Drosophila melanogaster: one gene and its partner. The protein of the gene in region 1 interacts with the protein of each later gene in a pairwise test. Each region holds a gene or a part of one and is shown on either strand. Other genes may lie near its edges.

Region 1 (3,850 bases):
ATAAAAATCGAAGCACAAAAAAAAAAAAACACGACTGTTCGCTTTGAAGTTAGGATATTGATATTTAACTTTCCTCCAATATACACTAGTCCGCATAAGTATTTGGACAAAATAAACGCTGCACATTTGTCAGTGAAACTTTTAAATGGTTTGATATGGTAGTATTGATTATTTTGTATTTTTTTGTGTTTTTAATTAAACTTAAAAAGTTATAAACAACTTAATGAAACATGATAATTTTTTGTTTGGCATTATATTTTGACAAACTCATTTAGTAAATGGTGTTCTGCTTTTGAGCACGTGTTAATCAACAATTGTTTAAATTGAACTTTTTTGGATATTGAACTTTAATAAAAAACAAAAAATTAATTGATAGCCATGGGTAAAAAGGCTAAGTTAAGTTTATTTATTAGATCAATGGTTGCACAGTTTAACGTTGGAATTAAAGTAAAAAACATTGCAAATGAGTTTAATGTGTCGCGACAAGCTGTGTATTATCAAATTAAAAAGTTTAAGAAACATAATGACTTAAACCTAAACAAGAACAGGCCGTTGCAACGCAGTGGAATCTGACCTCCAGCCTTCCGAAAAGTGAACGTAAGGCAATCAGTGAGTGGACATTTCGTCGACGTTTAAAGGAACAGGACACTGCTAATCAGGTATATTTTTAAAAATTAACTAGCTTAAAAGGCTGAAATTTGCAAAGGAATTGGCTTTCTTTATGTCAAAGCAAACGAAGATATTAGTAAGTGGCTAGTCATTAGTAACTTCTAGGAGAACAGGTAAATAATCTGAACTGAGAGTGTTTATTACTCGCGGAGTTATAAGATATTGTGGGCGATTTGTTAGGAAAAAGTTTAGAGTACATGGTTGACCGTGCTTTCCTGCAGGCATATAGGTGTGGTCAAGGGGATACAGTATTTAAAAGTTGTTGCTGTCAACTTTGGATTTTAGCAGGTTACCCCACGAGTTTGCCCGGCGACATCCCCAAGACTGGTGTCGGCAATTTAGGTCACCTCCTACAATATAAGGCACATTTGCGCTGCTTAATTGGCGAATGTCGGACAAAAAGAGTTGATTTTTCTGAGGATTTACTTGACCTCATGGAAAGTAACAAGACTAAATAAATGTCTGAGTGCCAACTATATTAAAAATATTTACGCCAATAGGTAGCAGGAAATGGCGAATACTTGTTTATATACATGTATATTGCAACCCCTCCCCCTCTTTTGACTGTTCGATCGTTTCAATAACAGCTATAGTTGCGTATTTTAACGTGTTGTAAGATGTTTTTAACCAGGTTTCAGAAACTAGGCAAATGTCAACATTATTACTATATAGAAATTGAGAAATTGATAGTCAGAAACGCTTCCTTTTGCCTGTTACATACTTTCAACGAATCTAGTATATCCTTTTTCTTTACGAGTAACGGGTATAAAATGGTTAGAATTCCGTCGTGCAATGCAATGTATTTCTATGTTTTTGAAAAACATTCCAAGCCAAATTATATGCACTCGCGTGATGGCTCTATAAAAATAAAATTTTTCAATGTGAAACACTCAATCAAATCAACAATCTTAGGCATAACTAGAATCTGCAGGATTAATCTTAACTTTGTAGCTTTTATAGTTCCCAAAATTTCGACGTTCATACGGACGGAGAGAGTTACAACAAAGACACTACAATAACAAAATGCGTAACGCCATACGATTTTTTTTTTGGCGTGGCTCTAGAGGTGGCTCCAGGGTCTCTCGAATTTTTGTTCAAGAGCGAGAGAGCGGAAAGCTGTACAGCGAACGTTTCATTTCTACGCATACATTCTAGTTTCTTTGTTTACTACTATGGTGATCTAAACGAAATATAACAATATAAACATTTATTTTAAATGTGGTGGGATAATGCATTACATTATAGGCAAAATAGTGGATATTTTACAATCTCAATGTATGTACTTTTTACAAGGAAGTAAAAGTGAAAGCATAGAAACCATCACAGCACTCGTTTCTTGAAAATCATATCATTATTACTTTGTCTTTTTTTTCAAACAGATTTCGTCTTTACCGAAAAAAATTATTATCGTGTCAGTAAAAATTCTGCAAATGATGCGGCCTTGCTGCTGTTCGTAAAATAGTAATTAACGGGGCAATCAGCATTGCAGCGCCCAGGGGACCGCATTAGAGTCAACTCCTTTAGCAACAGAATGGAGGACACAGATCAGGAAGACCTGCTGGCTTTCGAGCGTCGGCTGGCTGAGGTGGTAAACACTGAGAAACGGAGTTCACTCCGCTGGCGCTTTGTTCTGGGCGCCATCTTCGCCTGCTCGGCGATCAGTGCCTGTCATTGGGTTCGGGATGCCAAGGAAAGCGAGTCGGTGGTTTTCCAAATCCTGTCCAGTCAAAGCGCCTTTGCCTTCTCCCTGGCAACCATATGCCTGCTAATCTTTTATGGATTCAATCACGCCACTAAGCAGGACCCCAGTATCCTGCGTGACACCCAAGAAATGCTGTCTCCGTTCCGCCTTAACATTGATAACCAGGGACGTCTCATCCTACTTCCACGGCAGACAGAGTAGCTGAATATATGTATATCCCCAAAAACACATTTTTATTGACGGCGTTCCAGTGGAATAAATGATCCAGTCAATAAATGATCCAGCTAGTCAAATAAATGATCCTCAAAAATGGAAATGGACTAGGTATTGCACACCATGACAAATTTCGCGAGGTGACTTCTTGAAACTAATTGTTTTTTATTTACTTTTGAAACGTTATAAATTTTATTTCTAGTTAATTAGCGCTTAGACTAGCGACGACAACAATACAAAAAAGTTCGCTGACAATAATGCTTAGCGATCAAGAAGCGAAGAGTGGACTTAAAAACATGCATTGCATAGAAATGACCGAGATAGAGGGCTGTTAGTGCTGCGGCCTTAAATTATAAAAGGCTACAGAATTCGATTTTGCTGTTATGAAATCAAAAGGAGTTGGCTGCTGTCGACACAACAAAAGTGGGCATAAGTATTTAGACAATAAATACATTCAATATATTTGTTTATAACTCATTGTTTACTTAATGGGAAATTGTTTAATAATTTTCGTATATATGTAGAATATACATATACATATATATGTATTTATATGTATATGTATATGTATATATGTAGTAAAATAATCATATGGATTATTTAAATGTCATAAATTTAAAAGAAAAAAATCAACAAAAAAATTATAACAAATTAATAAAAAATATACCCTCTCTTAGCGTCTATCAACTTTTGGAGACGTTTTGGTACAGAGTGTACCAAACTGTGGTTATAATCTATTGAAATATACTTCCATAAGGCTTGAATTTCCAAAATCGTTTCTTCGCGACTCCTAGATATGTTTGCACGCCTTTTCTTTATACATATATGACCAGAGGTTTTCTATTATGTTGAGGTCTGGACCTTGAAATGGCCAACCCAATGTGTTTACGTTAACATTTTTCAGAAACTGCGTAATTAGCTTGGCTGGAGTATATAGGACTCCCCAAAAAATTTATCACCAGAGGGGAATGCATGATGCTGCGCAAATGGGATACATTATGGAAAATCACTAAAGCATTACTGTTTTTTTTGAAATAATTGAAGTGGCCGGTTTGGACCACCCAAATACGCCACTCCCCTTCCCGTAAAGAGAACCCTATACTTATACTTGGGCTGGGACTGATGGATATAGTATGGGAAATGGAGTTTCTTCTATTTCTTTTTGTTGTGTTTTGATTTGAATTTTTTCTTATTTTAAGTTTCGCATACAGCATCATAAATGGCTTAAGTGGTACATATCTTAAATATAAGTACAACAAAATTAGT
Region 2 (3,661 bases), 7.7 Mb from region 1:
GGTTTAATCTGACTTATGGTTTAATTAGGGTCAAGCGAAAGGGGTTCCCTATGCCTCTTCGGCATTGCAATTAGTGCCGATAAACCCGAACAAGGCGAAAACTTATTTGTGGAGCTGCATGCGTTTGCATTTATACACAGAAAAAACTGTGATAAAGAAATGATTATATTATTGCAATAGGTGCAATTGAGTTTTAAAGAAATAAGTTCTATATCACATCATTATTATATTTATATATGTTTACATACATTTTAATTTTTAGTTTTATAGCTACCAATGTTACCCAAAAATACTGTTGAATTTGCCAAATCTTTCTTCTTCAAATCTCTAATCAATTTCGTCGACTTTTTTCGCCGTGTAGCATCCATTTGTGGCTTTGTTACAATCTTTCCGTTCGCAATGTGCTCCGGTTCACCTTTTCGGCCCACTTTGTCAGCTTCTTCCTGCCCGCTCCTCCACTTGGCCTCCTTCTTGGTTGCTTATTTTTGGCTTGAAAACGCGAGTACAACGCACCCTCCACATTCCATGGCTTTCAAGATTAAAAAAATGGCCAAACCGTTAAAAAAAGGCATAGTTTTTACATCCTAATTGCCAATACTAACCACTTTTTGACTGACTTTGTGTAATTTTATTCACAACTTTTACACTTGCCAACAAAAGAGTAACACTTATCGCGAATGTGTGCCCTTTTCGCCACTTGGCAATTAAAAAGTTGTCGCCAGCAAAATTAAATTAAAATGAAAACATTTGTCAAATCGAGACTATACAGTCATCGCAAGGAGTCCACAGACATTCGCGTGAAGAATTGAGAATGCAGCATTAGAGGAGTGACAATGTATTCAATGTATATTTCAGAAAAAAAGCAATTATAAGGCGAACAAAACATTACAATGAAATCCGTACGCTAATGAAAGATCAAATACTTGAGCAGCCATTGCCCGGCAACAACACAGCACAAGCTGATCAATATTTCCCATAGGGGGGGCACACTGCGCTCCAGAGGCATCAATCCACGTCGCTTCATATCTAATTTAATGACATACACATCGATGGTCATGATGATGGCAAAAAGCGGAACGAAGATATTATTCTTATGCGGAGTGATCTGGATTTAAACAATGGTTGCAGTAATTTATTACAATGGTACAATAAGTGTGTACATATTGTAAATCTTTGTACTTACAAATACAATGGAGTATATCATTAGCATGTACGCTCTCACCAGTAAAAAGTGTGTGAGGGCTCGAAAGCGCCGCGAATTGAAGTCCTTTAAAATCAAAAGATTGCTTGGCCATCCGAAGAAAACGATCATGAAATCTATAAAATTTATTAACTACGAATTTTGGTTAGGTGCAATTAGTCCTTTACTTGCTGCCCACCATTAAATAAAGGGCTACCATTTACTCACCAATCGAAGGACACCGATGTTGAGGGTATAAAAGAATACCAATAAATCGATACTTTTCGAGATTTTCCAGTTGATGCGCCTTTCGCAACATGATAGAGGTATCTTGAGATTGGTGTGCACAACGCGGCAAAAGTGATCACTGATCTGCTCGAAGAATGTCATGCCGAAATGTACAAATAAATTTTCCAAATTTATAAAAGAATGTATAAATAGGTGCTTCGTTCAAGTCAAAGGGGATGACTGACTGAAAGGCAATGAATGAAAATCGAAAACGATTTGGGCATTAAATCATGGCCAACTACTCCCGCTGGCTGTGCAAGGACACTTGGCCTTCTTCTTGGTAGCTTATTTTTGTCTTGAAAATGCGAATAACTGGCAATTTCTGGCCGGGTCTTCCACACACCATACCACACTCTACACAGCACACACACCGCACACACACCGCGCCGTCGACATTCCATGGCTTTCGCATGGCTGGAATCTGGGTAAATGTTAATTAAGCATCATTTACGCATTCAGGCCGCCATAATTTGCAGCGACAATGACACTGACAGCGCCACAATGTTGCGACAACTTTGACAAGCCCGCCAGCCAGGACACAGAAACGGAGTCTTGGAGTCCTAGAGACACGGAGACACAGAGCCCGACCCTTTACCCCATTTACCCATTTACCACACTGTCACTCGGCACGCAGTCAAATTTAATGTAACATAAAAGGTTTTCCATTTCATTCACCATCCTACTTAATGTATATCTGGGACGTAATGGTTCCATTAGGACAACCGCAAATGTTCCAGAACATTGCAGTTGGCATTTGCCTGGATGTCTGGGGAAAAGAAATTGTTCAATAAGCAGATATCTGAAAGAAACGATTGACTTGGCTGGTAGATTGTTCGGACTACGTGGCTTATGACAAATGTTCAAAGCTCAGTGTTACTCACATTACGTATACGCGGTGTAAACCATGCCCAAGACTAATAAAAGAACAAAACTTGTATGTTGTTTTACATTTGGGGGCAGCTTATAGATATTTTTATAAATTTATTATTGCAGAAATCTGGGTAGAGCGGTATGGCCTTATCTATGTCCTGGTCCTGGCAACGATTCCCCTTTTGTCCGAGTCCCGGTGCCACACCATCTGCTGTTGGTGTCCCACTGTCCTACCAAACGTCCAATGGCCGCTTATCTTTCCCAGACAATGGACAATGTGGCCGTGGATTAGCTCAGCCAAACGGTTATTTAGCGGCGTCCAGAGCGAGGATTGTCTTCACCATTCACCTCCTCCTTTCAAGGACTCCGCCAAATTGTGGCCACAAAGCGGCCGGGTGAAGTGCGCCCAACAGCTGGCCAACAAAATTCAGAGATGGCCAACAATACATCCAACAATGCCAACGTCCAACGACCAACACAAAAAGCAACAAATCGCCAACTGTAGAAACAAAATAATAATAAAGACAAGCAGCAACATGGAATGGCGGAGCACAAAACCGAAATAGCAAATAAAATTGCACAGCAAGGATGAAAATGGAACGAGTGCAGGAAAGGAAGAAGAAGACAAGGAAAGGAGCTAGGGAGTCCTGCAGAAGAATTACGTTAAAAGCCAAGAATAACGATGGTACAAAGAAATTCGGTGGAACAACACGTGACTTACCCTAAGGGTTAAGTAAAATAAAAAAATAATAATTATTAACTTGGAGTATTACTTTTTTTTAATTAAGTTGTTGGATGAACAGGTATTGTGTACATATGTACATATATGTGCTTCACAGTCATTGCAATCAAAATGTAAACACTATACTAAATTCAACACAATTTAAATTTCCTTGTTTTATGAATATGTTTATACTTTTGCATTGCTTATACACATTTACACATACACTGCAAATACTATACAATATGTGTATTATATTTAATTAAACTAATGCTAAAACAGTTAAAACCGAAAATAACATCACTCGATATTACAGGGTATCGCCGATAAAGTAAGAGGGCAAGTTAGGGTCGCAAGTCGCGCACACATTTCTCACACCAAATGCAAATAAAACGACGCCTTGGAATTGAAATAGAAATAGAAAATTGCCAAACAAAAATGGCAGCATAAACTTTTGCTGTTTGCCACTTCCGTACGTCATTCGTTCTGCTTTCACCTCCTTTCTCCGTAGGTCGTAACTCTCGCACACACACACACACAAAATAAGAAAGGAGAAAGCGAATAAGACACAGTGGCACATATACGCACAAAAGTCTGCTGCT

What was found.
Region 2: the proteins of Cnep1r1 (region 1) and CG32588 interact in a two-hybrid assay, tested with the Drosophila melanogaster proteins (one large-scale study listed by BioGRID).

Annotation. Positions count from the first base shown.
Region 1 is NC_004354.4:22,943,285-22,947,134, forward strand, and holds Cnep1r1 (CTD nuclear envelope phosphatase 1 regulatory subunit 1), read left to right. Parts: upstream 1-2,036; 5' UTR 2,037-2,200; coding exon 2,201-2,572; 3' UTR 2,573-2,724; intron 2,725-2,786; 3' UTR 2,787-3,055; downstream 3,056-3,850.
Region 2 is NC_004354.4:15,204,986-15,208,646, forward strand, and holds CG32588 (uncharacterized protein), read right to left. Parts: upstream 1,652-3,661; 5' UTR 1,571-1,651; coding exon 1,409-1,570; intron 1,334-1,408; coding exon 1,184-1,333; intron 1,106-1,183; coding exon 905-1,105; 3' UTR 822-904; downstream 1-821.